4 linked regions of the Struthio camelus genome follow. The protein of the gene in region 2 binds, or shares a complex with, the protein of the main gene of each other region. Links are inferred from orthologs where the notes say so. Each region holds a gene or a part of one and is shown on either strand. Other genes may lie near its edges. The genes, in order: TAF3, TAF6, TAF11 and TAF13.

Evidence for each region.
Region 1: TAF6 (region 2) and TAF3 share a complex: the UniProt entries of both Homo sapiens proteins name them as parts of the TFIID basal transcription factor complex. The link is inferred for Struthio camelus from reciprocal best matches to the Homo sapiens genes TAF6 and TAF3.
Region 3: TAF6 (region 2) and TAF11 share a complex: the UniProt entries of both Homo sapiens proteins name them as parts of the TFIID basal transcription factor complex. The link is inferred for Struthio camelus from reciprocal best matches to the Homo sapiens genes TAF6 and TAF11.
Region 4: TAF6 (region 2) and TAF13 share a complex: the UniProt entries of both Homo sapiens proteins name them as parts of the TFIID basal transcription factor complex. The link is inferred for Struthio camelus from reciprocal best matches to the Homo sapiens genes TAF6 and TAF13.

The regions. Positions count from the first base shown.
Region 1 is NC_090942.1:5,343,378-5,351,173, forward strand, and holds the start of TAF3 (transcription initiation factor TFIID subunit 3), read left to right. Parts: upstream 1-4,786; 5' UTR 4,787-4,903; coding exon 4,904-5,069; intron 5,070-7,796. UniProt on the Homo sapiens protein: The TFIID basal transcription factor complex plays a major role in the initiation of RNA polymerase II (Pol II)-dependent transcription.
Region 2 is NC_090978.1:546,400-554,218, reverse strand, and holds the start of TAF6 (transcription initiation factor TFIID subunit 6), read left to right. Parts: upstream 1-4,819; 5' UTR 4,820-5,143; intron 5,144-6,145; 5' UTR 6,146-6,196; coding exon 6,197-6,352; intron 6,353-6,581; coding exon 6,582-6,668; intron 6,669-7,149; coding exon 7,150-7,303; intron 7,304-7,423; coding exon 7,424-7,480; intron 7,481-7,748; coding exon 7,749-7,819. Other genes in the region: MBLAC1 (metallo-beta-lactamase domain-containing protein 1), read right to left, coding at 2,172-2,528, 3,007-3,079, 3,616-3,702. UniProt on the Homo sapiens protein: The TFIID basal transcription factor complex plays a major role in the initiation of RNA polymerase II (Pol II)-dependent transcription.
Region 3 is NC_090965.1:5,430,710-5,438,152, forward strand, and holds the start of TAF11 (transcription initiation factor TFIID subunit 11), read left to right. Parts: upstream 1-4,429; 5' UTR 4,430-4,452; coding exon 4,453-4,653; intron 4,654-4,755; coding exon 4,756-4,895; intron 4,896-5,281; coding exon 5,282-5,369; intron 5,370-5,770; coding exon 5,771-5,867; intron 5,868-6,890; coding exon 6,891-7,021; 3' UTR 7,022-7,443. Other genes in the region: ANKS1A (ankyrin repeat and SAM domain-containing protein 1A), read right to left, coding at 1,803-1,996. UniProt on the Homo sapiens protein: The TFIID basal transcription factor complex plays a major role in the initiation of RNA polymerase II (Pol II)-dependent transcription.
Region 4 is NC_090942.1:96,845,892-96,853,249, reverse strand, and holds the start of TAF13 (transcription initiation factor TFIID subunit 13), read left to right. Parts: upstream 1-4,344; 5' UTR 4,345-4,473; coding exon 4,474-4,500; intron 4,501-4,745; coding exon 4,746-4,824; intron 4,825-5,373; coding exon 5,374-5,471; intron 5,472-6,508; coding exon 6,509-6,679; 3' UTR 6,680-7,358. Other genes in the region: GTPBP8 (GTP-binding protein 8), read left to right, coding at 53-225, 718-802. UniProt on the Homo sapiens protein: The TFIID basal transcription factor complex plays a major role in the initiation of RNA polymerase II (Pol II)-dependent transcription.

The sequences.
Region 1 (7,796 bases), on a different chromosome or scaffold from region 2:
CAATGAAATGTCTACACCTAGGAGACTCTTCCTGAAAAAAAATCTGTAGGAAAATAAGCAGATTCAAATTTTAAAACTTTGTGGGAAAATAGCTTTGAAAGAGGCCTTGGGGTGGCAGGGAAGATGAATGAATTGATGAAGTATTCCCATTGGAGGAGACAAAGTGCAAAAAGATACGTTGAAGGTTTCTAATACGCTTCAATGTTTCTTACAGGTAAAGAAGAGCTCTTCTGAGCATATGGTTTAACCTGCCTGTGTCTATGTTAATAAGACTACTCCGTCATTTTGTGAAGAAGTGGTAAAGTCCTAGAAATATCTGTAAATTCTTACAATAAACCGCCTACACGAAACAAGTGCTCTTGGTTGTCTAAGTATCTGGATTTGACTTGGTTACTCTTTGAAACAGCTGATTTTTAAGAGGCTGTAACCTATGTGATATACAAAGCATGTAGGTGGGCATTTTCTTTTGCAGGTGGGAAAGAGTGCATAGCTCAAGAATATTAACACCTTGTATTTTCAAGGTGTTTGTTATATATATATTATGTGCTGAAGAGGGAAATGGCTAAATAACTGTTTTGAATCAGGCAGTTAGAACACTGGTCTTTCTGCCTCTGATCACAGTACGATTGTTTCTAGATGTTCATACTCTAAAATTAACTAACATGATTATGGGAATCATTAGTCTTTATTTAGACTGATTACTATCTATCTTGTTTGTCAGTTTATATACTGGCATGCTGTAAAATAGAGTAACCCTTGCCACAGTTCTCAGACCCCACTATACATGACAGAAATGCATGAAAGGAAAAACCGGACATGCTGAAGTAGAAGAAATGGTCAGTAGTAGTGTAGTATAACCATAAGAGCAAAAATATGCCATTCCCAGTTTGGCAGACAAAACAAGAGCCTTGAAGGACTCAGTTGTGTACAGGAGAGGAAGTGGGCAGGGGGTTTGTAGAAGAGAGATGAAGAAAGTGTAAATTGTGTTGAATATCAAAGCAACCTTCCGAGTATGACCTGAGGGACAAGCGTGAACAACCACTTGCTTGCTCGAGCTGCTGTTGGGTTGAGATGGACATAAGTCAGCTAGTCTAGAAAGCATATAATCAAGTGCTGAACTTGAGCTAATATGCTTTCTCAAAGGCACCGTGTTAACTTCATAAAGTGATGTACTGTTGCTATCCTACAGCTTTCAATGTGCTGTCTTTATGTGAGGTTGAATCCTTGGAGAGGATTTGTTACATACTTTGAAGAATCTTTTAATGACTACTTTTAAGAACTATTAACTTTTAAGGAACTAAGGTTCTAATGCTAGGGTTAGTCACACAACCGAAGTTGGTGACTGCTTGGAATGGGTGAATTTGGGAAGCTCTAAAATGTGGAAACACAAACTAGCCACTGGATACAGAGGTGGCCGTTATCCTAATGGAGGAGTTCCTTGATTTATGCAATTCTCAGCTTAAGGCCTTGATCCTGTAATTCTTTAGGAATAATCTATCTAAGCTGTGGGGAAAAAACTGCTTTGACACTGTGAACCTTTGCGGTAATCCGGATGATTTACATTCTACTTTTCCCTGGTAAATGTTTCCGTTCTCTGTTATATGAAATTACATTCCTGACTGGAAAGCCATCACCTCTCTAAGTGATTTCCAGGGAGTGGAGGGGAATGCAGTTCCTACCATGTGTGTGACCTGATGGCATATGCACAACATCATCAAGGTGTGTATCTGTGTAAGGCCAAGGCTTTCCAGCAGCATTGTATTGCCCCAGATTTTTGTCCAGATGGCGTTTCTGTGGCTACCCAGCCTGCTGTCACTACCTTGCATGCCCTCCTGTTTCTGTGCAAGAACCCATGCCTGCCTTCTGCCCAGTCTGCTCGCAGTGAAGAATGCAGTGTGCTACTGATACAGTGAATCCGATAGGTGACTATCAGTTTCTTGCATCCCAGCTGTTCCCTTTAAGTAAGGGAGGAAGGGATGACATGCTTGTGTAAAGCTGAGCATTACGGGGGCTGTTCTGGTTTGAAACAAGGTGGAGACTGCCGCTTGGTGCACAGCGGCTGACGCAGCAGTTCTGCCCAGTCAGCTGGGTCCATCGGGCACCCTGAAGAAGTAAAACAGCCCCTTTGCCTTTCCCAGCCCATCTGATTGTTCCACTCCTCCTCCCCCATACGTCACATCCTTTAATTCCCGTCAGCTACGCAAGGAAATACTTTCCATAACCCTCAAACCTGTCTTCCCTTCTCCCTCTTTCAAGACTCAGCCTGGGTGCTTAGTCTGAGCGAGGTCAAGGTTCCCAGCTGGGGCCCTGAGACATACTCACAGCCTGCCGTCTCCTTTTGTGAGTTCCCCTTGCCTAGGAGGCTGGGTTTCTGCTCGGGCCGCTCTGCAGCAAGACTTGGCCTTGTCCCTGGATACCACGCTTTGCCTTGTGCTTTAGCCGAGCATCTTCCCGGAATCCTAACTGCTCTCTGAATCCATTCCTTGCTGTGAAATACTTAATAGGTAAAGGTTAATATGTGTGTAGAGCAAGGATTAAGCTGTTTCTCCTTTTTATTGGAGAAAGTGGGCATGTGATTTTAGAGGAATTCAGATACTTTGGTGCTAAGATCTCTGGATTTTGGAATCACAGTGAAAAGATGAAACAGCAGCCCAATGTCAAAATTTCTATTCTGGCATGGTGCATTAAATACTTTCTTAGGTACCTAAGGAGTAGTATGTCCACGCAGGGAAGAACTTTCAAATCCCTGCAGTGAATGCTTGGTTCCCCTGGAGGCTTTTATAGCATTCTTACTTGCTCTCAACTTTCTGTCACTCAGACGTGATCATCTTAGCATTCATATACACATTTTTTTTTGGTTACTTCTCTGGACTGAATGATGTTTCCAGTGTCATGTTCCATTGCAGAGGTTTTTATGGATTTCATTACAGAACAATTGCTGCTAGGAGCCGTGCAACTCGGTAATGGTTTGGGGAATTGAACTTGGAAGCCCAGGTCCTTCAAACTAAACAGCAGGAACCATGGAGATAGGCTCTTTTTCTCAGCTTGTTACAGTACAAGCAATCTTTTGTCACCGTTGAGCTCATCCAGTTAGTGTGATATGCTATATGGAGCGGTCTGAACTGCTCAAGTGGGGCAGCTCATGAATCAGGAACCACCGTGCCTAATAAATCCTGTGCTTTTCCTTTCATTGCAGTCAGCCCATGTTCCAGGAAGAGCCCAGGAAACACAAGTCATGTTACTGCGAATATTTGGTAGCATCAGTCCATGGTAATTCCCCTAAGAATACTTCTGAAGTTTACAAAAGGAGGTCTGTGTATTTGCAGCTTTTCTGAACACTCAGAAAATACGTTTCTAAGATGGCAAACGTGCTGCCTGTTCAGGAACTCCCCAAAGCGGCTTGACAGACTGAAGAGAGCAAGCAAAGATCATTCACCTTTCAGTGAACTAATTAGTGAACTAATTAACAGAACTAGTATTTACAGTTGTCTTTCATACTGTCATTAGTTACACACAATTATTGAGTTACAATTTATTATTAAGTGCTATTAATTACACACAACAGTTTTAACAGTTCTGTTGCCCTTTATACTACCTCCTGCACCCCCATGGGGGTGCAATACTATCACCCTTTTCCATACCCATTTAAACTTCTTCATTTAGACCGTTATTAGACGGATTTTTATACCTTAACTGTCTTTTTTTCATTTCTGGACCCTCCTTTTTGCCAGTATTGTACCATCCCTTCCCTGCCCAGCCTCTTCCTGAAGAAACAACCTGCTTGTAAATCCTTCATCCCTGTGGGTCCCAGCTTTGCTCTATCCACACCCAAATTTGGTGTTTATTTCTAATAGAGTTACCCAGGCAACCTTGGCCTTACACATGGCTTCCGTGGCTGCCTACGTACAGGTGGCCTTGGCAAGGTTTTACTCCCCAAAAGATCCCAGAAATTCCTCTTCTGAGTCCTGGGATCCTTCTCGGTACATATTGTTCATTTTGCACACATTTCTGAGACAAGTTCTGGTTCCTCCACCTAGTTCCAAATAAATTCAAGCACTTGCTTATCTTAAGGGCAACAACCCCCACGCCAGAGCGAGGTTACGTGCTTTTTCCCCCCCGCACACTTTTTGCGGGGGCTCACACAGCATCCTGCTCTCCCTTGGCTGCTTCATTACACATCACCGGCCTTAACGTGGCTCTTTTGGATCATCTCCCGCTTCCCCCCACCCCAGTCTTGTCAAGCCTCCCTACAGGCCTTCGGGGCGCTCAAGTCCGTTTCGGTTTAAAGCATCTCGACGAGGCTCCCTTCCTGCGCCCCGGTGGTCGGGGGGTTCTCCCCCATTCCTTTAAAATCACCTATAAAAAAAGCAGAAGGGAAGGTGTCATTCCAGACGGTCAGCTTCGGCGGCAAGGCCCCTGCAGCAAGCACCCGCTGCCGGCGGGTCCCCTCAGCCCGAGGCGGCGTGAGGCGACAAACGTCTTTTACAACCGACAAGCGGCGCGCAGCTTTAGGGCCCGCCGCGCTGGCTGACACGGCCGCGACCGCCCTCCTCCTCCTCCGCGCAGCCCAAACCCATCCGAAAAGGCTTCGCCTCGGCTGGGCGGACCAGAATTTCCCGCTTTCTACGCGATTTTTGAGGTGGTTTTGGGACGACGCGCTCCGGCCACACGGCGCTGAGGCCCCAACCGCCTCCTCCCCCCGCTCTCACCACCTCCTCAGAGCAAGGAGGGGAGGGAGGATGGCCGAGCGGTCGAGGGCGCTCGATGCGCTCGGCGCTGCAGCCGCGCGGCCTGGCGGCGGGGAGGCGCGACGCCAAGATGGCGGCGGCGGCGGCTGTGGCGGCGGCGGCGGCGGGTTGTGCGTGAGCTTCGCCTCGGCCCTGGCGGCGCCCAGCCGGCCGGCATGTGCGAGACCTACTCGCGTTGGTTGCTGCGGGTATCGGTGGCGCAGATTTGCCAGGCCTTGGGTTGGGATTCGGTGCAGGTCTCGGCCTGCGACCTCCTCACCGACGTGCTGCAGCGGTACCTGCAGGGGCTGGGCCGGGGCTGCCACCGCTACTGCGAGCTCTGTGAGTGCCGGGGCGGCGGGCTGGGCTGGGCTGAGGGGGCCGGGGGTCGGGGGCGGAGAGGAGAGGGCACGGAGAAGGAGCGTGGGGGGCTGTGGGGCAGTGGCGGGGGCCGAGAGGAGCGGGAAGGGAGCCGTGGGTCCGAGGTGGCGCCCCCACGGGAGCGGTGGGCCGGGGGTGTGGGGTGCGGTGAAGTCACGGGGCAGCGGGTCTGGGGTGCAGGCGTGAGAGGGCAGTGAGTGTCCGCTGTGGGGCAAGGGGGAAACAGCGGGGGTGAGGCACTAGGAGTGGGGTGCTGTATGTGCACATAGGGGGAAGCGGGGCAGTTGGGAGCGGGTCTGGGGTGGGGATGGGGGGGGAGATGGGGCTGCTGCCCCACTTCTTTGGCTGTAGTGTGCAGGGTGTGTGTTGGGGGGGTGTACAGGAGGAGAGGACGGGCCTGTTGGTCCCGTTGCTGGGGCTGTAGTGTGCTGGGGTGGGTGTGCGGAGAGGGGACACAGGGGACCGGTCCCGGGTGGGAGGCTGCTGTCCCAGGCCATCTCAGCGTCAGCAGGTGCGCACTGGGGGAAGTCGGGGGGCTGCAGTCCCCACGGCCACTTTGGGGCCTGGGGCTGCCATTTACGCCAGGTTTGGGCTGTGTGAAGGGCCAGGGGGTTGGGGGGTGTTAACCCCGTGGTGGGGCCGCAGTGAGCGCGCTGGCGGGGAGCGTAAGCAGTGAAGGGTTGGAGCTGCCGTGCGCGGCGTGGAGCCCATATTAAAGGACCACGGGGCCCCATATATTAAGCTGTGGGGGAGGGGTGTGCAGTGGGAAGTGATGGTGTGTATGGGGGGAGTGGGGGAGTGCGGTGTGTGAGGTCGGGGGTGTGCTTGTGTGTCTTGGTGGGGGATGGAGCTGTAATGCCCACACCGTGGGATGTGCACAGGGCGAGTGATGGGGCTGAAGTGTCTGAGGTATGGGGGTTTGTAGGTGGGAAAGAAAACGGACAGAGCTGGAGATCTTTTTAGTGCGCGTGGTATGAGGTACGTTGGAGACGTGCGCCTGGGGGTTGGACAAAGCAAATTTCTGTGCCCCTTCTGAATCTGAGAGGGGGAGGGGGTAGGGGAAACGGAGATGTGGGTATCAGTGCTGGTGGAGTGGTGGATGAGGTGGTGCTGTGGCGGCTGTTGAGCAGGATTTGGACTGTTGTAACACTCCATAAATACTGCAGGGGAGATGGAGTGCGGTGCATAGTGGAGAGGCTGGGGGAGCGAGGGTGCCCTGTAGGAGTGGAGATAGGCTGTGTGTGCACATGGGAACCAGGGCTGCTTGCGCCTCTTGAGATCTTAAACGGGACCAGGGAAGCAGGGAGTCCTGGAGCCTAGGATCAGGAGTGCTGTTGCCAACTGCGTCAGTGTGGAAGATATTTCAAGGAGCCCTAACAGGATTGGGATCGGGAGTACACTCCTCTTGCAAAGCAGGCAGTGTATGTGGAGGGTTGGAGGGATTTGGGGAACCAACTGCTGCCTGCATAAAGAGGAAAGGAGGAAAGCCTCAGGAGGGAGGAGGGTCGCTTGACCACCACCTGCTCAAGGAGAGCAGGGAATTTGGGGAGACTTGGGCACGGAGATTGGACTGCCGTGCTGCTCTTGTCTGCTTCTGAAGTGCTTGGGGCCTGGGGACGACTCTCTGGGGTCTGGAACCGTGTGATGAGGCCGTGTTAGAGACTGCATCTGCTTGGCCTGCAGCGTGCTCTGAGTTTGGGTTGCTGAAGGGAATGTGGAGAGACTGAGGGGGGCAGGTTTCTTGTTACCACTTCCTTCAGCATGCTGCGGGGCTGTGGGCTGTCACTGCTCTGCGTGCATGTATATATTTATAGAGAGAGAAGTCCGGGATAGCCCCGAAACAGAGGTCAGAGTTGCTATGCTGTTGGATGTCAGCATGGAAGACATTTAGAAGAGTAGAGGGTTGGGGGTTAGGGTGGATGATGTGGTGCTTGCCTGAAGAGCTGGATATGGAGAGGGTGACTTCCTAGGAAAGGATTTGTGGCTATGACAAGCCACCACCAGTGCTTGTGGGAGAAGTAACAGGGATGGCAGCTCTGAACAACTGAGAACTTTGCTACCACTTCCACCCCAGTTGTGTGGATGTGGGCTCTGTGCTAATCAGGGCTCATGTGGATGAGGGGGATACTGAGGACACACTGCAGCTCCAGGTGGTAGCTGCAGCTTCGAGATCAGAGGAGCTTTGAAGGGTGGAGGTGTTGGCTTCCTCGGCAGGAGTGAATTTGGAGGGTGTGTGGGACGAAGGACCGTGTGCCAGGAGGGAACGCTCAGCGTGATAAGCATAGTCAAGAGAGGAGCAGCCTTGGCCTGGCAGTGCTGCTTGTTGTCGTGTCTGTTCTCTGAGGCAGAAGTTTTCATTGCTGCAGTGAGCCCCAGTAAAGCATGGTGATGATCTGAACATACCTGATACCTGGCTCTGCCTCAGCTTGTTGAATCCAGGAATAATCAAGATCTAGTCTGAGTCTGTCACTGCCTGTTTATCTGAGCCCAAGCTTGGCTGCCTCTGCCACGGCTAGGAGGAAAAGATGCATAGACGGTGGAAATACAGTTTTTTTTTTTTTCCTCTCAGTGCTTAAGGAATTGGAAGTGCTTACTGAAAGCTGGTAGAAATAAAATATCCCTCTCTTGCTTTGAGGGTGCTTAGAGATAGTGGAGAAGGGAAGTTTTGCCCCCCCCCGGTGAATGGAA
Region 2 (7,819 bases):
AAGGGGACAAGGTGGGTGGGACATGATGGGGGACAGAAGCAGCGACATGGGGGGGCAAGATGGGATGGGGGACATGGAGGACATGGCAGGGACATGGGGGACAGGATGGCATGGGGGACAAGGCAGGGACAGGGGGGACAGGGCAGGGACATGAGGGACAAGATGGGATGGGGGACAGGACAAGGGGACAAAGGGGGGCAGGACGCGATGGGGGACAGGGCAGGAACATGGGGGACAAGGGGGACAGGACATGATGGGGGACAGGGCAGGGACACAGGGGACAAGATGGGATGGGGGACAAGGCAGGGGGACAAGGGGGGATAGGATGAGGGACAGGGCAGGGACACGGGGGACAAGATGGGATGGGGGACAAGGCAGGGGGACAAGGCGGGACAGGATGAGGGACAGGGCAGGGACACGGGGGACAAGATGGGATGGGGGAGAAGGGGGACAGGGCAGGGGGACAAGGGGGAACAGGACATGAGGGGGGACACAGCAGGGACATGGCAGAGAGGACCACCGATGAGGGGACAGGGCAGGGGACCCCGGCGTGCCTGGCTGTCCCCACCGCCAGGGCGGACGAGGTGACGGTGCCCAGCTCTGGGGCTGTCCCTGCAGGGGACGTGCCCCCCCTCCCCCGACGTCCCTGTCCCCATGCCCACCTCGGCGCCCTCCGGGGACGCGGCCGGCCGAGCGCTGGGCCCCCATGCCCACCTCGGCACCCTCCGGGGACGCGGCCGGCCGAGCGCTGGGAGGACACCGGGAGCACTGGGAGGGTGCTGGGCAGGGGCTGCCACGGGGCCGGACCCGGACACCTGGGCTCCCTCCCCGCGATAACCCTTGTTATTACCAGAAGCTCAAGGCCACCGGGACGGACCCAGGCGTCCGGGCCCCCGCGTCACATGGGCCGTTATCGCCCGGCTCGTTAAGGCCCTCGTTAGGGCTCTGCCGGTGCCAGGCCCTGCCCTGCCCTCCCTGAGCCCCCCCCAAGGAGATACCAGCACCAGGGTCTGCTCAGAAGCTTTATTTTGTGGCTGGGGACGTCCCCAAGGGTCTCCTAGGCCTTGGGGACATCCCTAAGGGTCTCCCATCCCGTGGAGATGTCCCCAAGGGTCTCTTAGGCCTTGGGGACATCCCTGGGGCTCTTCCATCCTGTGGGGACATCCCCAAGAGTCTCCCATCCCAAGGAGATGGCCTCAAGGATCTCCTAGGCCTTGGGGACATCCCTAAGGGTCTCCCATCCCATGGAGATGTCCCCAAGGGCCTCTTAGGCCTTGGGGACATCCCTGGGTCTCTCCCATCCCATGGGGACATCCCCAAGGGTCTCCTAGGCCTTGGGGACACCTCTGACTCTGTCCCCTCTTTAAGAGATGTCTCTAGGTTTCTCCTTTTTCCCCAAGGACACCCCTGAGTCTCTCTTGTCCCTCCCTTGGGGACATCTTTGGGGGGGGGTCATGTCTCCCTTGAAACCTGATCTCTGATCCCCCATCTCTGATCTCTCTCCCATCTCTCAGGGACATGCCTGGGTCCCTCCATGACATCCCTGGGTCTCTCCCAACCCTTGGGGACATCCCTAGGTCCCTCCGCAATGTCCCCAGGTCTCTCCCAACCCTCAGGGACATCCTTGGGTCTGTTCCCCACCCTTTCCTTGGGGACATCTCCAGGAATCTTGTCTCCCCTGGTGGTGTCCCCAAGCCTCCCCCATCCCTCAGGGCTGTCCCCAGCCCTGTCCCTTCCCTAGGGGCCGTCCTCAGGTCCCTCGTCCCCCAACGTCCCCCCACCCCGGGCCGCGGGGGCATCCCCGGGTTCCCACTCCCTGAGGACGCGGAACGGGGGCCCGTGACCCGGCACGATGACGTCGGCCACGGCCAGCACCCGCCGACGGCTGGCCTCCTGCCGCGCCGGGTCCTCGCTCAGCTCCCGCCAGACGCCCTCGTCGCCCTCGCGCTCGAAGAGGTCGCCGGCCACCACCACGGTGCCCAGGGCCGTGCCGTGCACGGCCACGCTGACGTGGGCGCCCGTGTGGCCCGGCGTGGGCAGCACCTCGAGGTGCCCGGCATCCAGGGCGTAGGGTTGGCCCCGGGCCAAACCGTGGGGCAGGTAGAAGCCGGCGCCACGGCTCAGGTCGAAGCCCACCAGCAAAGTGGCGTCGGGGAAGAGGTTGACGTTACCGACGTGGTCGGAGTGGCCGTGGGTGCAGAGGACGTGGGTGACGTCGGCCGGCGACAGTCCCTGAGCCGCCAGCAAGGCCGGGAGCCGCTCGCGGTTCCACGGTCCCCCCGTGTCCACCAGGGCCGTCAGGGGTCCCCGCACTAGGGTGATGGAGCCGTCGGCCAGCAACGAACCGTCGGGACGCGCCTGGCTGTAGCCCTCCTGCAGCACCCGCACGGAGTAAGGGGTCCCCGGCACCTCGTGGGTCCCCAGCGATGCCGTCCGTACCCCTGGCAGCATGGCCGCCCCGGTTTGGGGTGGGGGGGAGGACGGACGGTGCGGTGTGGAGGTCGCGGAGGTCACCGAGTCAGGGCGCCCTGAAGAGAGAGTGGGGAAGGGTGCAGGACCTGCCAGCTTCCCCCCGCCACTGGGTGAGTGGTCTCTCCCAGTGCCTCCCCATTATCCCCAATGGTCTCCCCCAGTCCCTCCCCATTATCCCCAATGGTCTCCCCCAATCCCTCCCCATTATCCCCAATGGTCTCTCCCAATGCCATTATCCCCAATGGTCTCCCCCAGTCCCTCCCCACTATCCCCAATGGTCTCCCCCATTCTCCCCCCTACTATTCCCAATGGTCTCCCCCAATACTCCCATTATCCCCAGTGGTCTCCCCCCGTCCCTACCCGCTATCCCCAATGGTCTCTCCCCATATCCCCCCATTATCCCCCATGGTCTCTCCCAGGCCCCCCTCTCCCTTGTCCCCAGTGGTCTCCCCCATTTCTTCCGCTGTCCTCCCCTCCATGTTCCCCCCCCCCGTTACCCCTCCGTGGTCCCGTCCGCAAGGCGCGCCCCCTCACCCAAACAGCTCCGCGCGCCACTGCCCCGGAAGGGGCGGGGCTCCCGCCGGAAGGTGGCAGTGTGCGCCGCCATCTTTAGAGAGAGAAGTCCCGGGCGCCGCCATTTTGGGGAGGCGGACGGGAGGCGACGAGGGACAATAAGCACAAGAAGGTGTTTCCGCCCCCCAAGGCGTTTCCTGCCCCAAGGCTCCTACCCGCTCCCCGTCGTGGCGGCCGCGGGGCTCAGAGCTCCCCGGAGTGGTCGTGGGCCGGGGGGTGGGGCGCTTCGTCCTCACCACCCCCCCGGACCCCCTCTGCCGCCCCCTATCATCCCCAGAGACACCCCCCCCCCCAGCCACTGCCCAGGATCCCCTGGACCCCAAGAGCCCCCTCCAAGATCCTTTGGGACCTTCTCACCACCCTCCAGCACCTCCTGGGATGCCCCCTGCCACCCCTCAGGATCCCCTGGACCCCACCCCCCAGGACCCCAAGAGCCCCCTCCAAGATCCTTTGGGACCTTCTCACCACCCTCTAGCGCCTCCTGGGGTCCCCAGGGCTCCATCTCCATGTCCTGGGACTCCCTTAGGACCCCGGTGGCACCACAAGGATCCCCCCCCCCCATGGTCTCACCTGCTGCTTCAGCTGTGTCACCTCGGCTGAGGACTTGTCCCACAGCTCCACGGGGACCCCCAGGTCCACCTTCACCCCCTTGTTCATCAGGGACTTCAGGGTGCTACTTGCACGCTGCCGGAGGTCCCCGCGGTCCCATATGGCTCACAGCCCCATATGGTCCAGTCTTCTATAGCCCCAAGCCCTGTATGGACCCATCACCATAATCTTGAATGGCCCAGGCCTGCCCCAAGTCCCATATAGATCAGTTCATGTAGTCCTATATGAACTCCGCCCCCATAGCCCTATATGGGCTGGTCTCTATAGCCCCACAGACCCATGTGGAGCAGTCCCTATATCCCCATAGGGACCAATGCCCCCCCATAGCCCCTCCGGACCAGCTGCTAAAGCCTCAGTGGCTCAACCTTCATGGCCCCTATGGCCCGGGGTCCCCATAGCCCTGTATAGCCCATTCACTGTGGCTCTAAACAGTCTGTTCCTATAGTCTAATACAGACCTGTGTCCCCGTAGTCCTATATAGCTCAGTCTCTATAGCCCCCTATGGACTGGGGCTCTATAATGACATACAAACCACTCTCTATAGAGCTATATGGACCAGGATCCCCTATAGCCCTGTATGGCCTGGTCCCTACAGCCCCATACAGAATAGGGTCCCCATAGTCCCATATGGCCCTTTCCCTACAGCCCCATATGGACCAGGCACCCCGAACAGTCCTACCTAGCCCAGGGTCCCTGTGAGCCCTATACAGACTGGTGCCTATAGCCCCATATGGACCAGGGAACCCACAGCCCCATACAGCCCAGGACCCCATTGTCCCATATGCCCCTATCCCCCATACAGACCAGGGACCCTGCAGCCCCATATAGAATGGCCCCTATAACTCCATATGGCCCAGGGAACTCATAGTCCCAAATAGACTGGTCCCTATAGCCCCATATATGGCCCAGGGAACCCAAAGCCCTATGCAGCTTAGGGCCCCTATAGCCCCATACAGCCCAGGGACCCCGCAGCCCCATATAGACCGGTCTCTATAGCCCCACCCGGACCACGAAACCCACAGCCCTATACAGCCCAGGGCCCCTATAGCCCCATACGGCCCAGGCGCCCGGGTCGCTGGCGCCGCGCACGCGCACTGGGAGCGGGGCGGGCAGCACGCATGCGCCCCGCCCTGGAGGCGGTGCCGGCTCCACCGGGACGCGCAGGCGCGTTGCCCGACCCGCCCGCCGCCTCGCAGGTCCTGGCAGGGAGGTAGTGAGCGCGGAGCGAGGGGGAAAGGAAGGGGTGGGAAGGCTCCCGGATCCGCGGCCGGGGTCAGACTCGCCTTAAGCTCCGTTAAACGCCAGGCGGTTTGGGCTTCTTCAGCCTCGCCGCCGACGTAAAAGCGGGCGAAAAGCCCTTCGAGGATCCCGCCCCGCAGCCCCTTCCCCAACACAGCGTGCAGCGGCCAGGACCTGGCGGTGAACGGCGGCAAGAGGCGGAGCCAAGATGGCGGCGGCGGCGGCCGGCACCGGGAAGGCGGCGTGAGAGGTGGGGGAGGGGGCCGGCTCCGGGAAGGGGGCGGGGTCGCGCTGCCCTCCCCCTCCCGGTATATTTTTTGGGGCGGGGGGGGGCTTGTGTGCGCATGCGTGTGTTCCCCCCCCCCCCGGGGTCCCCTTTGCATCAGGGTCCCCCGTCTGCCCCGGTGCCCGCGTATTTGGGGTCCCCCCCGGGCGGGATGCCCGTGGCGGGGGGGTTCCGCCGGCTCTGCTGCCCCGGTCTCTGGCTCTGGGGCTGCGCCCTGGGGTCCCCCCCCCCCCGTGTTTGGGGGTCTCCCCAGCCCAGGGGTTCCCCCTGTGTTTGGGGTCCCCCCCCCGCCTTAGGGTTCCCCCCGTGTTTGGGGTCCCCCTGCCCTTCACCCTGCGGTTCCCCCCGTGTTTGAGGGTGTTTAGGGGTCCCCCTGCACCCTGGGGTTCCCACTGTGTTTTGGATCCCCCCCGCCCTGGGGTTCCCCCCATATTTGAGGGTCCCCCCCACCCTGAGATTCCCCTTGTATTTTGGGTCCCCCCCCACCGTGGGGTTCCCCCCCCCGTATTTGGGGGTGTTTGGGGGTCCCCCCCCTGCCCTGGGGTTCCCCCCGTGGTTGGGGTCCCCCCCCCCCGTGGCATCCCTGTGTCGGGGACCCTCCCACTTGCTGCTGTGTCCTAACGTCTCCATATTGGGCTCTCGTTGCCCCCCAAAACGACCCCGTGCTCTCGATTTCTATACGATGCTCCTATATCCAAATCCCCCCTGTTTAAGTCCCCCCACCCACGATCTCTTTACATCCTATATATTTAGGATGCCCCCGCAGCACCTTTATATTGGGGTGCCGTTGTCTCCCCCCACGATGTCCCTATTTCGGGGTCTCCCGCGTTTCCGCTTCGCCCTAAATGTTTCCTTCCCGGGGTCCGGTGTAGGGACCCCCCTTTTTGGGGTCCCTACACCACGATCTCCGGTGCAGCTTGTAGGACCCCCTCCTTGCCCTGCTGACCCTGCCGCCCCCCTCTGCAGCCCCCCACGACCACCACCAGCACCCCCCAGAGGAGGAGGAGGAGGAGGAGGATGGCGGAGGAGAAGAAGCTCAAGCTGAGCCACACGCTGCTGCCGGCCGAGTCCATGAAGGTGATGGCCGAGGCCATGGGCATCGGGCAGGTGCCCGAGGAGACCTGCCAGCTCCTGGCCGACGAAGCCAGCTACCGCCTCAAGGAGATCGCCCAGGTAGGGGGGGACACGGTGGGGGGGGACACAGAGGGGACAGGGACAAGGACAGAGCCTGGGGTGGGGAGGTCTCTCAGCCCCAGGCTTCGGGGAAGGGAGGGAAGGTGACAGCACGTGTCTCACCCACTCCGTCCCAGCGTCACTCAGCCCCTTCCCTGGTGGTGTCCCCTGTCCTGGGGGGGCCGTGGGAGGCTCCTCGCTTTGCTGACCCCCCTCCCCGGCCCCCCAGGATGCCCTCAAGTTCATGCACATGGGGAAGAGGCGTAAGCTGACGACGGGGGACGTCGACTTCGCCCTCAAGCTCAAGAACGTGGAGGTACCGCAGGGACCTGTATCTGGGGGGGGGGCCTCTGGGACTTGGCAGAGGTCTGGGATGCTCTGGGGGGGCTCTGGGAACCACAGGGGGGGCTCTGGGGATGCTCTGGGGGGATCAGGGATGCTCCTGGTGGGGCTCTGGGACGTGGCAGGGGTCTGGGATGCTCTGGGGGGGCTCTGGGATCCACACGGAGAGTCTGGGGATGCTCTGGGGGGATCAGGGATGTTCTTGGTGGGGTTCTGAGATGTGACAGGGGTCTGGGATTCTCTGAGGGGGCTCTGAGATCCACAGGGGGGGTTCTGGGGATGCTTGCGGGGGTCGTAGATGCTCCTGGTGGGGCTCTGGGATATGACAGGGGTCTGGGATGCTCTGGGGGGGCTCTGAGATCCACACGGGGACTTTTGGGATGCTTGGGGGGGGGGGTCAGGGATGCCCTGGGGGAGCTGCCAGCCCTCCTCTAAGCCCGCCGTTGCCCCCGCAGCCGCTCTACGGCTTCCACGCGCAGGAGTTCATCCCCTTCCGCTACGCCAGCGGCGGCGGCCGCGAGCTCTACTTCTACGAGGAGAAGGAGGTCGACCTGAGCGACATCATCAACACGCCGCTGCCCCGCGTGCCCCTAGACGTCTGCCTCAAGGGTGGGCCTAGGGGAGGTGGCCTGGAGGCATCGTAAGGGGGTGACGGCGGGTTTCGGGGTGGAGAAGAGCTGTTCCTTGCTGTTTGTCACCGCTTTTTGTCTCTCTCTTTTTTTTTCTCAGCTCACTGGCTCAGCATCGAGGGGGTGCAACCCGCCATCCCCGAAAACCCTCCTCCAGGTGAGTGAGGGACCCAGGTGTCCCCAGAGCAGCCCCTCCTTCTCCTTGGACTCCCCATGGGAGATCTGTCCTCCTCATGGGGAAGATCTGCCACTAGCTCCTCTCGATCTGTTCTCCAAAAAAGAAAATTTGCCCCCGATCCCTGGTAGTTTTGCCTTCCCTGGGATAGATCTGCCCCCCGTCGAGGCGGATCTGCCCCCCTACCAGCACAAATCTGCCCCAGTCAGGGGGTAGATCTGCCCCCAGTCCTCCCATGCTCTGTCCCCAGCCCCCAAGGAGCAGCAGAAAGCCGAGGCCACGGAGCCGCTCAAATCCACCAAGCCGGGGCAGGAAGACGAC
Region 3 (7,443 bases), on a different chromosome or scaffold from region 2:
ACACAGCACCTTTTCCCTGGTTCGCCAGTCCCCAGCTACCCGCCGTTACCAATGGCGTACGTAACCCTGTAGCGGTTTAAGCCCTGGGGACACATCACCGGGCAGCTCCCCACGCCGGGAGCACGCGCTCCAGACAGCCGCGTCTCCCGGCTCTCCCAGCCTCCCGCCGCCGCCGCCAGCCCCCATGGATCCCGTAACACCCAGGCGGCACCAACGCCGCAGGGTCTCCCCCCGGCCCAGCCCGTGCTTCCCGTACCCCCGTCACGGCCCCCTCCCTAACGCCTCATCCCACCCCCGGCCCCACTGCCGCCGTCTCCTCGCCCAGCTCACGCTGGCTCAGGCTCCAGACCTCATCCCCCAGCCCCACGGGCACCCCCAAACCCGCAACCCCTGCAGCCTCCCCCCAGCCCCTGCCAACAGGCCCCACAGCCCCACGCTGCCTGCCTCTCCCACCTCTGCCCCCCAGCCCCATACGCCTCACCTCCCGCCCTACGGTCCTAAAACCCCCCAGCCGCACACACCCCCTCTCCTGCCCCACAGACCCCCACCCTCCTGCCCCACAGCCACCTCCGCCCCACAAACCCCAATCCCTACCGCCTACCCCAGGCCCCCGGACTCCACAACCCTATTTGCCCTCAACGCCGTGACATCCCACCTCCTGCCCCACAGCCCAACATACCCCCTTCCCCACAGCCCTGCAGCTCCACGCACCCCGCGCCTCCCGGCTTCCCAGCCCCACACATCTGCTGCCTCCCACCCCCCAGCCCCATGCACCCCACACCTCGCAGCCCTCCAGCCCCACACATCCACTGCCTCCCACACCCCACGGCTCCCAGCCCCACACCTCTGCTGCCTCCCACCCCATGGCCCCCCAGCCCCACGCATCCGCTGCCTCCCGTCCAATGGCCCCGCAGCCCCACGCATCCGCTGCCTCCCACCCCCCAGCCCCACACATCCCATGCCTCCCAGCCCCATGAATCCACTGCCTCCCGCCCCACGACCTCCCAGCCCCACACACCCCGCTCCTCCTGGCCCCCCAGCCCCATGCATCCACTGCCTCCCACCCCACGGCCCCCCAGCCCCACGCGCCCCTCACCTCCCAGCCCCACTCATCTACTGCCTCCCACCCCGCAGCCCCCCAGCCCCACGCACCCCACACCTCCCAGCCCCACGCACCCCACACCTCCCAGCCCCACGCACCCCACACCTCCCGGCTCCCCAGCCCCACGCATCTGCTGCCTCCCACCCCACAGCCCCCCAGCCCCACACACCCCACACCTCCCAGCCCCACGCATCCGCTGCCCCCCACCCCACGCACCCTACACCTCCTGGCTCCCCAGCCCCACGCATCTGCTGCCTCCCACCCTGCACCTCCCACCCCCCAGCCCCATGCATCTGCTGCCTCCCACCCAATAGCCCCCCAGCCCCACGCACCCTGCACCTCCCAGCCCCACGCATCCACTGCCCCCCACCCCACGGCCCCCCAGCCCCACGCACCCTGCACCTCCCAGCCCCACGCATCCACTGCCCCCCACCCCACGCCCCCCCAGCCCCACGCATCCACTGCCCCCCACCCCACGGCCCCCCAGCCCCACGCATCCACTGCCCCCCGCCCCACGGCCCCCCAGCCCCACGGCCCCCCAGCCCCACGGCCCCCCAGCCCCACGGCCCCCCAGCCCCACGGCCCCCCAGCCCCACGGCCCCCCAGCCCCACGGCCCCCCAGCCCCACGGCCCCCCAGCCCCACGCCCGCCCCAGGGCCTACAGCGTCTGGGCTCCCCGCCCCCCGCGGGCCGCGCTCACCTGAGGAGACTGGACAGCGGGTGCCCCACACCGCCGCTCCCGCCGCCACCGCCGCCGCCGCCTCCCCCGGAGCCGCCGCCGGAGCCGCCGCCGGAGCCGAAACCGGAGCTGAGCCGCTTGCCCGAGAGCAGCTTCTCCACGGCGGGCAGGTTCCCGGTGCGGGCGGCCTCCAGCAGCTCCTGCTCCTTCCCCATGGCCCGGCCCCGGCCGCCCGCCGCCGCCGCCGCGCCCCGCCCCCTGCGCGTCCTTCCGGGGCGGGGCCTGACGGAGGGCGGGGCCTGGCATGGCGGGGCCTCTCGGCCCGCAGCCACGCCCACGGCGGGGGGAGGCGTGGCCTGAAGAAGCTCCGCCCTACAGGGGCGGGACGCCCCCCCGGCGGGATGGCAGGGCACCGCCCCCTCGCCCCCCTCCGGGGCAGGGGGGCCCTGAAACCGCTGTGCGTAAGGTCCCGGGGGCCCTGAAACTCCCACGCGTGCGGGCTAGGGGGGCGGGTCCGAAACTCCCACGCGTGCGGGCTGGGGGGCCCGACCCGCCCCACCCCGGTGCATGAGGGCCGGATGTGCCTGCGGTGTTAGTGGCTGTGCAACGCCCAAAAGGCGATTTACACCTGGCCTCGTTAGTTCCATAAATCCCTTAAATGACTTCCAACTATTTTTTTTAAGGGTATTTTAAATTAATTTTGCTTTGGCTCATTTTATTCGTTAAAGCTAAGGAGTCTGCTACAACCGCGAAAGGGAGGGACGTGAATAACGCAAAGGTAGGGTTACAGCACGCGCTACGCAAAGAAAGGGACCGCCTTTGGTCTAGCCCCAGCGCTTTCTGCATTTCCAGGGTTCCCGTCGCTAGAGCAGTTGGGCATAATATGTACAAGAATTAATTCCTAGAACAGTTTAAATAAGGCACGTCTCTGCCAGGGCTCTCGTTCTGCGCGTCTATTGGCGAAAGAGACACGAAAAAGGAATATTCGCAGGCTATTTCTCAGCCGTTGCCCATAGCAAAGGCTTCTGGGGAGGAACGGTGCTGGTGCTCTGCTCTGGCTGACGATCGCTCTTCAAGGGGAAGCAAAACAGCCAGAAACAGTTGTCCGCGATGGCAGCCTACGAGCTGGCACGCAAAATGATTCAAATGCGGCCAGGTGCTCCATTTGAACAGCACGTTAACAGCATCAGTCCTCTCAGAGAGCCAGCCTCGGTCGCTGCCCCTCCAAGCGGAACTGAAGTGGATTTGCCACAGTTTTGCTCAGGCAGTTTTCAGGTCTCTGGCTGGGGGATATCCCTTACCCAGCGCAGCCTGCGCTCGAGAGACGGGAGATGAACGTCGTTCACCTTGACCTCACCTTGAGGGAAATACATAGGAGGACACTTACAGGAGATCACAGCCTTGGTGCCCGCCAGAAACATCCCCTGCGTCGAGGTGCCACGCGCTCGTGCGGGACTCCACGTGCTCCAGCGCGCGTGGCAGCGGCCATACCCTGCCTCGCCAGAGCCCGCAGGGGAAGCTGATGCGTGAGAGGGCCGCTGGAAATTACACATATTTAGCTCCTTTCACCAGAGGCGCTCAGAGTATTTTGCAAGCTGGAATTAATCCTGTAGCCCTGTGAAGCTGGTCAACGTTATCACTACTTTTCCATACAACAAACAAAGAAACAAAGAAGCAGCGTCAGAATTCCCAGGCTTGAGGAGGGGCTGGGGGGGCCGGGAACGCGGGAGTCCCGGCTTCCCCGCGTCTCGCCCCAACCTTGCTGCTCCCTGCTGTGTCATGTGGTACCCTGTTAGACGGAAACAATGCAGAAAATCATTGACTGGCTTAGCCTTTCCAAATTGATTCATGCTTCCAAGAAACAAAATCAGCAGGAGATCCTTGCCAATGCCTCAGAGAGAGCTGTTTTGTTGGTGACTTTGATCTGGGTTTGCAGAGCCACAGACTAAAGCGTGCACCCAGACCCTGGGCTGTTTCCACAGCTCCAGACCCCAGACTCTGTCCCTACCGTAACACTTTTCCTTCTTAATATTTAACTTTTTTCCTATTTCCGTGCAAGAACGCCACGCTGAGAACGCGCTTCTGCAACGACTCCAGCAACTCATCAGTGTAACAACCGTCCCCTTGCTCCAAGAGCAGGAAGGGACACGGCTGCCCCTGTCAGCACGTCCTGCCCCCCGGCCGGAGCCAAGCTCCAGGCCCTGCAGTTCGGCTCCCTACTGGCCTGGCCTCTGCCCCCCGCTGCGTCACCCCCCGCGGCGCCCCAATACGCCGGGGCTGACCCCTGCCTCTCCCACCCCAGGAACCCGGTTCCCCCCAGCCCTTCCCGCCCTGGTACCCCAGTACTGCCCCAGCCCTTCCCACCCCCCTCTCCCAGTACCCCCCAGCCCAGCCCATCCCGCCCCAGTACCCCCCAGTACCCCAAGGCCCTCCCTCCCACAACCCCCACACCGCCCCCGGCCCTCCCCACCCGCTCTCCCAGTACCTCCCAGTCCCCCCCGCCCCGGCCCCATCACTCACCCCCGGGCAGGCCTCGTTGCCATGGCGACAGGCCCCGCCCCGCCGCCGGCAAGGCGCGGCCCTTCGCGGCAACCGTAGCGGTGGCGTCATCAGGAGGCGTCGCCGCCGCCGCCGCCGCCGCCGCCGCCGCCGCCGCCGCCGTCGGGGAGCGATGGCGGAGCCCGACTCGCCGGGCCGTGAGGAGCTTGGAGCCTCCGCCCCGGAGCCGCCGCCGGCCGCTGCCTCCTCGTCTCCCCCGGGCCCCGGAGCGGCGGCTGCAGAGGAGCCGGCAGCCGCGGAGGCAGCGGCTGAGGGCGAGGCGGGAGAGGCCGGCGGGGGCGGCGAGTCCGCGGTAGAGGCGCAGGCGGGGGAGGTGAGGCCGGGCCGGAGCGAGGAGGGGGCGCGGGGGGGTCGGGCCGGACCGGGTCGGGCCGGGTCGTGGCGCCGCCGAGCCGAGCAGTGCGCTCTCGCCCAGGTGAGGAGCGCCGAGGGGGAGGCGGTGGACGGGGAGGACCCGAGCCTGCAGCCGTCCGCGGCCAAGAAGGTGAAGCTGGAGCTGAAGGAGAGGAAGGAGAAGAAGCACAAAGTGGACGAGGACGAGATCCAGAAGATGCAGTAAGTGGCGGTGCGCCGGGCCGGGCTGCTCCCTGGAGGAGGCTGGTGCTCCCTAGGGCACAAGTTGCTGTATGGAGTTTGTCTCTAGACACGCTGACTGCGTAGTGAACCTCTAGCTGTTTTATGAGACTGTTGCTGATGATTTCCCTAGTTCTTTCCCAGGTCTCTCCCCTCCTGAATGGGCCTAGCCATTTTGCATATAAATTTTAGTACAGCTGGAACAGTCTTTCCCTTCCTGGCCCTCTTCTGTACTGTGAGAGGTTTGGGGTGGTAGGAAGGTTCTGCGAGACTTTCAGTAACCCAGTAGCCAGAGATGTGCTAAACTTTTTTCTTTTTTCTTTTTTCTTTTTTTTTCCCCTGTAAACAATCAATTTTTTCCACCCCAGAATACTAGTCTCTTCCTTTTCTGAAGAACAGTTGAATCGTTATGAGATGTATCGTCGGTCTGCTTTCCCCAAAGCTGCTATTAAACGGGTATGGTTTTAATAACGCTTTGCTATAGGGGAAAAAATATGAGCAAAGTGGGCTGGGTTAAAAGGCTGAGCCTTACCAAGCCTGGCTATAGAACTGCAGATTTAAGACTTGCATAGGGTAAGAACTGGATCCGCTGTATGCGCAGGCTGTGGATGCACCTTCTCTTCCAGCTGCTTGTCTCAGCCTTCGTGGCCGAGACCGTTGTCCTCAGATCAGCTTATCTGACCCTGTTCGAGCTTACTGAATTTGCATGGCTTATGCAGTTTAAATGGGGGTCTCTGCCAACCCATTGTAATTGAAAGTGGTTAGGGTGCGTGGGGCAACAGATAGAAGTAATGGCTAGTACTTTCGCTGTTGCTGCGTACTTCATTCAACTGACTGTCTCTTCCCTGCTTGTCAAGCTAATCCAGTCAATTACTGGCACCTCTGTCTCTCAGAACGTGGTTATTGCCATGTCCGGCATTTCCAAGGTCTTCGTTGGGGAGGTGGTGGAAGAAGGTAAGTGGAATATGTTATCGTGGGGCAAAAAGGTTAAAAATACAATGGTAAATTCATTGCTTAAAACCAAGCAGAAGGATATGAAACGAGACTGGGAATTCTATTGGTTCCTCAAAGGAAAATAACGTCAACATTCTTGCCACACAAATCGGCGTGTGAGCAGGCTGCAGTAGGGCAGTCAAGATCTTTGCTAATGCTGCTGTGGACAACAAATGCAGCCCAGGGAAATAAGTTATTTAGGCCTCTCATCTGTAAGACTCAGGCTTTAAACAATGAGCCGAGATCTCTTTGGGATATCCTGTAGAAGGCTGACCCAGCCAAGTACCTGGGTTTTTTTTTTTTCCCTTATTCACGCTCCAGGAGGAGACAGTACTGTTTGTTCATGCCATCTGCTCAGTACAGACTTGTCATGCAAAACATGTGGCCTATACATGCAGGGATTACCTTATCCAGGATGATGCAGTTTGGCTGTTTCCCTGCTGCAGCTCTGTGTGTTACCTGAGGCAGTTTGGATAAGCAGCTTCACTGCTGTACTTAATTGCTTCATGTCCTTGGCAGGAGATGTAAACAATGCTTATTCTAGCTGATGGAGAAGGAATTGGCCTGTAAGTCCATTGTAAATTGTACCTTCCTATTGCTCCTACACATAATGACCCCAAAACCTAATCCCAATCTAGAGGGGTTTTTAAAGTGGAAGGCTTAAGATCATAAGGCATTATTGCCAAGTTCTTGCATGACTTAAACTAGCGTATTCCATAGCTGAAGCTGTTTGAGAAGTGGTTTATTCTTGTCCAGTGCTGATGCCTCTAGGACTAACTTTTCTTTTAGTCAAAGAGAAACACATAAGGCAGTTTCACTCTCATGCATTAATAAAATGAGCTTTAAACTCTGAACAAGAGAAAAGTTACCTTTTGCCTTTGAAATTTAAAGCTCAAAACAGTAGGAGGCTTTTCAGGTATCATCTGTTAAGAGACTGGCTCAGCTCAGCTGTCCTGCTTATGTGAACTCTTGTTTTTTGTTTAGCACTGGATGTATGTGAGAAGTGGGGAGAGCTGCCACCTCTACAGCCCAAACACATGCGAGAGGCAGTCAGGAGGCTCAAGTCACGGGGACAGATCCCCAATTCCAAATATAAGAAAATCATCTTCCACTGAAGTATCTCAACAGCATCATGACAAGACAGGAGTTAAAGCAAGCTTCCAGTTGGGTACTGCGTAACCTCAAGAGTCGTAGCAGAACTACGAGGCTTAAGCGCTCCAAGCTTCTGTTGTTGCCTGCCCGTATCGTTCTCCGAGGACCTACAGGAAAACAAACCTTGATGCTGAAGTTGCACTCAGTCCAGCTTGATTTTTATGTGGCTTGTTTTCAGTTTACAAAATGTAGCCGTTAATACTCTTGGCATGGCTGATGGGGTAGGAGGACTGAGGAAAAAGCCCTGCAGATGAAGCTCAGAGTACCTCTGTATGGGGTAATGCAGTTACCCCATTGAGCATATTTTGGTATTAGAGCCTCCCCTTCAAGGAGCCTGTAAACGTTTTATTGTGCGTAGACTTTCGTTTAGGCAACTGTGGTGAGG
Region 4 (7,358 bases), on a different chromosome or scaffold from region 2:
CCAGAACTTTCAGCCCGCTTTGTAAGGTGAATCATTCTTACAAATGTTCCAGGCTAGCAGCAAAATCATCTTTTTCTCTCAATCCTTCCTGTTTGAACCCACGCAGCTGGTGCTAACAAAAATCGACCGAGCTTCCAGGGGACTGTTGTTAAAGAACGTACTGGAGATCCAGGAGTTTGTAAAGGAGAAAACTCAGGGATGCTTTCCTCAGCTATTCTTGGTCAGGTAAAGCTTTTCTCCGTTGCTGCCGTTTCCTTCCTCGTGATGATCAGCAATAGGACATACTACCTGAAATGGGTCCATCTGTCCCAGAGGCGATACTTTTCTGTGCCCCAAGGATGGAGGGTGGGCTGCTTGTGGTAACTGCCCTTTCCTTCTTCCACATCCTCTGCAAGTGAGTGGAGTTCAGTTTTCAAGGCTGCTTCTTCCTTTGGCCTTTGGGCTGAGAGGGGCAGCCGTACCTATGCTGTGTGACAGCGGGCTTTGTCAGGCACCTGCTTACGTGCTTGTGGTCGTTTCGTACAGTAGCGTAGTTTGGAGTTATGTGACAGTAGCAACCCTTAAGTGTTTGCTTACGTAGCTGAAGTTTTTGCTTTATCAAAGTTGTACTGCACTATGGGGGATGTAATGTAATGTACCCAGTGGCTGAGTTTGGTTATATTAGTCCAAGATGCAGCAGTGATCAGGCACTGAATGTACACACCTTTGTTTCCATAGTTCTCTGGAGTTTTCAGGTGTTCACTTGCTAAGGTGTTTCATAGCCCATGTTACTGGAAACCTGCCTGTTGCAGAGACCAACTAAAAAGACTGGTTCCTGATCTGCTTGGCACATCCAGAACAAAAGGTACCAAATCTGGCTTTTTTTTTTTTTTTTAATAACCTGAAATACTGGAACTTATATTTTGGATAAATTTGTCTAAGGTTTTGGTTAAATTAATATTTGTAAGGATAAGCTTTTTGTTTAATAAACTCATTCAGGAAATTTGCGCTGCAATGGAATGCACTTTATTATCAAATGGTTTTATAAAACCTATGTGATTGTGCCAAGAAGGGAAAAACAAAGAGAACCTACTCTACAGAGGAGCTAGGTTTTAATACAGCATTTCCTCTCTCTCTCTCCAGCTAACTGTTCAGAAAGCTACTACTGCATGCCTAAATTCTGCTGTATTTAGGATATTAGAGACAGTCTAGTAATCTGATTAATAAAAAGGCATTTAGTTTAGAAAAGAAAAGTTATAGCTCTTAATATTAAACAAGCCACGCTTGCCAACTTGAATTGAATGACATTGAGAAGTTCACCAGTCTCAACTTATTTCACTACCTGCTGTAAGACTGTCTGGAGTAGAAATGGCCAGCACTTAATTTGTGAAGGTGTTTTTAGGAGAGATCTGGCTGGGAAGCTGCATTGTGTAACTCCTCTGCCTCATGCATTCAACAGGTGCAGTGTGATAGCGTGCCTTACTTGTATACACCAAGTTGTCCCTGTTCTAGGTGGATGAACGAAAGGACACATCTTTAATGGGATCTACCTTTCGATTACTGTTGGCTTGGAACAGAGTGAGATAAATGAATGACACCTAGGGGAGCTGTCTCCTCCTGCACTTTATCATCGGTCAGTGCTGCATTTACCTTCCAGCATGAAGTTCTGCAGCTGTACTCTGAACTGCCAGAGATGAGACATGTTGTTTGTTTTATGCATCTGTTCTACACTGGGAGCTGAAGCACAATAGTGAGGCCCCGTATTCTTTGCAAGCACTGTAACAGCTGGCAAAACTTTGTCCCACAACAGCTGTATCCAGCTAACAGCACCCAGCACCCATCCTGGGGAGACCGAAGCTGGGTAGTTACAATATCAGAAAGAGTCAGAAAAGGGGACTGTCTTAATAGCAGTAATCATACACGAAAATTTAGATCAAAGCTATTAAGTGCTGATGTCAAACTCTGACACTGTCTTGTTGAGTATTAGGATTGCCAAAGGTATGTATACGGTTGTCAGCGTTACTTACATCAAGTGTTTAAACCTCATGAAAGAGTAATTCTTCCATAAACCACTCGAGAGTTAGAAGGTGGTATTTCTAGTGTTTTGCTTTATTATGGAATTTCTTTTAACTCACAGATTAGACGTGAGATAGGGCTTATTTCCCCATATGTGTAGGAAGCGGCAGTGTGTGATGAATGCAATAGAAAGAGGTGGATCTCTGGTTTGCACACCTAAGCAGAGATCACACCTGTAATTCTCAATATTTCACCTCCAATCCTAAAGTGCTCCAGAGCAAACCAGCCCATGTGATGCTTCCACGGGGGGAAGTGCAGCAGTATAAGGATAGATGGAATAGGTGCAGGTCAACGTTTCAGGCATAATCTTTTGTTTAAAAAAAATAAAACCAGCATCTTTCAAAAGCATCAATCTAGTCTGTAATTCTAAAGGCCTCAGCTCTAATTGAAGAGCCTGTGCTGCAAACTGCCAGCCAGTATCCTTTCTCAAACTGTAACTGCTTTGTTAATGAGATTAGATTGCAGGAAGAGTGCATCTGAACTGGGAGGATAGCAGTACGTTTAAAAAAAAAAATCTTTTAACAAGAAGTGGCTATCCTATGTGATAGATACTAAGCAACAATGTGTGTGCTGTGTTAAACAGAAGTTCATGACCTCAAGGTTGTTCATGGCGTCTCGAACAGGCTCAGCAGCTCCTTCACTGTGGGGCCTTGGACTGTTGGGCCCACTTCTACAGTCATACAGGAGGTTGTACGATGAGGTAGTGCAGGATTTCAACTCAGTCTTTCAAGAGGCCCCCTTCCTACCACAAACACAGTAATTAAAAACAACAACAACAACAATAAAACTACCTAAAGCTTCTGTGGGAGAAGTTCATCCATCTTCCAAACTTCTTTCAATGGTTTTAGAGCAGTTCTGTTCTCTACTACCTTTGTATTCATCTTCAAGAAATGGGATTTCATTAAAATCAGTTCAGCAACTTATCTCTGGCCCCTTTGTCTCTCCTTTCTCTGACATCGTTAGCCTAGTTTGGGCTAACAGCATAAGACCTATCTTATTAAAAAAGAAAAAAAGCATTGTTTGTTTAGATGTCTACAGAAGTCAAGGATTACTACAAAGACAGTGAAAGAGGACATAGGGTTCACGTTCTGCTTGTTCTCTGGCTGAGGGGAGGTCATGCTGAGCTGTGCTTGGCACCTGGACAAGGAAGGACTGCCACAGCCAGGACTTCTAGATGCCGCTGCTGCGTTCTTCACGAAACGCTCAATTACAGCAGGCCTTGAGCGGTGCACACAGGAGTTGCCAGAACACGCCACGCTGATTTGAGGCCTGCTTCTGATGAGAGAGTCAACTCCATCCTCTGGGTTAAATTTAACTTAAAAGTTGTGGCTGTGGGTAACTGCCACGCTTGTGGGAATTAGCTTCGGTTGCAGAGCTGTTTTGTGATACTCGGCCAATTGTGCTTCGATCTATGAAGTCTTGAGAGTTGTGAAAAGGAGAGACTTAACTGAAAAGACTGAACATCCATTCCTGTGCTTCCCTCGTTCTAGGGCTCGTGACATGCATGTTTTCCTTTTGGGTTTGTATCCTCGCTGTCAAGAGCGGTGAGACCATCTGATTGCTTCTCTTGAAAGCCGCCAGCAGTTTCACTCTCCAGCTCTTTGCTTTTAGCATACTTCAGCTCCTCATCATATACTACTTTTGCTCCAGCTCTAGCTCCTTGGTGAGCTTGCTGATAGAGCTTGCCCAGAGTTAATTTTTCTCATGGTTTATCTTATGTTTGCAGCTGTGTAATACTGATTACGCTCAGCGTGTTGCATTCGGGTAGCTTCCTCCTTCAGAGCGCCAACTTCCAGTCCTGCATAGACATCAACGGAAAGAGGGGTACACGTCTTAACTCCCGCGCTGAGACACATCTGCTCACTACGGTCAGCCTGCTACTCCTGCCGCTTTAGCTCCTCGGTCTTACTTTATAAAGGGCAATGCAAGTTATGCCTACGAGCCCCCGGAGTCCTTGCCCCTCCGCTGACCGTTGCGGACACTGGCAGGAGTCCGGGGAGCGTTCAGAGCGCAGCAGCTCCCCGTGCAGACGTGCACGCGGGAACCTGGCGGGAGCCCGGCAAGTCGCGGCTGCGACGCTGCAGGGGGCCCGGCTGCGCTGCTCTGCCCGCCCGGCCCTTCAGAGGCCCCCCACGGGGGACGCCCCGAAGCCGGAGAAAGCCGGCGGCTTGCGGACACGGTAATCGCCAGCCGGAGGACCTACTGGGGCCGCTGCCTGACACCGCCAAGCGTCTGCCCGCGCCGTCAGGCGTACGAGCAGCGAGGCGCCGCCGCCTTTCAGTGCCCCCTTGCGGCGCGTGACCCTCCCCGGGCTCCGTTCGGGGCGGCGCCCGCGCCGTACGCCAAGATGGCGGCCCCCAGGCGCGGCCCGGGCGGCGGAAGCTCGGCCGGCCCGAGCGGAAGCGGCGCGCGGCAGCCATGGCCGACGAGGAGGAGGACGCGCCGGTGAGCCGCGGGCGCCGGGGCCGCGGGCGGGCCAGCGGCGGCGGCGTGCCCGGCTTTTGTGCGGGGCCTTCGGCCGCCTCTGCTCAGTGCGGGCGCCGCCCGGGGCTCCCGCAGAGCCGGTGACATGGCTGCTGCGGCCCGGTGCTGCCGGGCTGGCCTGCGCCCCCGCCGGCGGCGCTGCGGCCCGGCCCCGCTCTGACTGCGCCCTCTCCCCCCCCCCCCCCCCCCAATGTGCCTTTCCGCAGTTTGAGGAAGACGCCGAGGAGGCGGGCGGAGGCCTGGACGGGGGGCAAGGCAGGAGGAAGAGGCTCTTCTCCAAAGAACGTGAGTGCAAGCCAGAGCCGCTAGCCTGCGCCCGGCGGCGGCTGGCACCGGTCGCTCGCTGCAGCGCCAGCCGTGGCTTTTACGAACGGCATACCTCTTGCAGAGATGTCGGCAAGTCTTAGGGAGCTGTAGAGTTTTGAAACTCGTTGTCTTCATTAACAAAACAACGGCTTTCATTCCCTACCCGTGCTCAAAGCGGAGAAAGCCGTCATATACGACAGAACGTTGCTGCTAATGCGTCATCTGAGCCTATCAACGGCAAAAGCCATACAGCGATGCAATGCCCCGTAGTTGATAGCCTAAATGCATTTTAAAGAGCCTGTCATCAGATGCATTTGTCTGCGTATGTGCTACGCTCTTGCTGGGTTCTGTCTGTTTTATTTCCCATAAGCTCCCCAAAGAATTGTCCTGGCCAGCAGTCAGGAATGCCGTCCTGCTGCATGAACTTGTAGACTAGTAAGCCTAAAGCACTAGAGGCATGCTGCTGGCTGTGCTGAATGACCAGAAAAAAAATAAGAGGAGGATCATGCTGAGTATTTCTTTCTGCAGTAAGATGCATGATGTATGGATTTGGGGATGACCAGAACCCTTACACAGAATCAGTGGATATTCTCGAGGATCTGGTAATAGAGTTCATCACAGAAATGGTAAGTCAAATTTAGATGTCACGATCAAAAAAACAGCTCTTGCTAGTATTTCAGATGCACCGATTATTACACCACGATTGGACAGAGGATAGGATGTTCCTAGCAGAACATATCTCAACGAAAAGGGATGAATTTGTTTTCTAAAGGTGTTAAATCAGATTCGAAGATCCTCATTAAGATTTTAATTTTCTGTAGGCTAATACTTCTAACCCAACTGGATTAGCCCAGGCCAACAACTCTGATGCTAGTAGGAAGAATCCCACGTTAGCCTTTGCGCTTCGAAGATTCAGTGGAAACTAATGCATTTTGCTCCATGTGGATTTGGAACAGGGCCTTCATCTGTAAGGGGCAGTTAGACTGATATTTTACAGGCACAGCTGACTTTGTAGCCCACTGTGGCATCACTGCGTATACAGCTGACAGAAGATGAGGGTCAACTTTGAAAGTTGATCTACTTTTGTGTTTGCTCAGTTTTTTTACAAGGATGGGAAAGCAATTCTGTCCCACAAAACGAATACAAGGTTCTGCTGCCTTAAGCAATCACTGATCCTGCTGTTTGGATGCTGTTTGAGGGTTTTTTGTTTTTTGTTTTTTTACTCAAGTCTTTCCTGCTGTTTGAAAATCCTGTTTCTCTTGAAAGGTTGGCCTTGCCTTCACTTATGAAAATGCCTAAACTGTCCTCAGATTTGGTGTTGTCTTTTGCATGCAAATTCGCCTTGATGCTGTTCTTTCTCAAGCGCTCTGCAGGTTTGGTCTCCCCTATGTGTAGCATGGCTTTAGTTTTGATGTCATTAAGATCCTGTATGTATAACGGCACATACCAGGTGTAGGTGTCAAGGAGCTGGGAATAGTAGACTGACAAAAAGTTCACAGGAGTGCACTCGGGAGTGTGTCTGTGAGTAGGATGATGGTGCCCAGATCCTGAAATTGCTTACCTTTGGCTTATAAAGTGACAAGGAATAAAATGGAATTGAGAGTTGAAAAAAATAAGTCAGGGTCAAAGGCACACTGGTAACTTTTGCTTCTTCCTCTGACAGACGCACAAGGCCATGTCAATTGGGCGGCAGGGTCGTGTACAGGTTGAGGACATTGTCTTTCTAATCCGCAAGGACCCCCGGAAGTTTGCCAGAGTTAAGGACCTCCTGACTATGAATGAAGAACTGAAGCGGGCCAGAAAGGCCTTTGATGAGGCAAACTATGGATCTTGATCTTCTGTGCACGCGGCACAGCTTGGGCACCTTCTTCCCAAAAGCAAGGAATTAGTATGTATTTGTTGGAGGTTTTTTTTCCAGGATGGAGATCAGTGCTGGGATGTCTGCCTTGGCTCTCGGCCTTTACAAAGAAGTATCGAAGCCTTCTAATTTTATCTGACTGTATGTGGTATACTTAGGTATTTTTATACCATTTTATAAAACTCAAGAAGTGTGAAAGTGAGCTCTAAAGGTTCTTGTAATGGTGACAAGTGTGTTTGAAGTAGGACTGTGTTCTATCAGGTATCTAGAGGGTTAATGAGAACTGATTCTTTCCAACTGTTTCAGTCATTATTAGATGCTCCCTTCGCAGGAGACCTAGAAAATGGATCTCGGAGAACTGGACAAACTGTGCCTTCGAGCACAAACCATTAGAATTTCTGTTCTCTTCCCTGTCCCTGCTCCCTATATGCTCTTTGAGTAAAACATCTTAAGCTCATGCCAGGCCTCGTAACTAAAATTCACTGACGAATTCACACAAGTTGCATAATGTGGATTTCTTAGCACTAACGATTAAGTATTCTTAGTCTGGTAGGAAGCTCATTTTTTCCTTCTGCCTCAGTGGACACAGCTCTCTTGTTCTCATTTCTCCCTAGGAAATGGGGATCACCTATCCCAAATTTACTTGCCCTTAGAT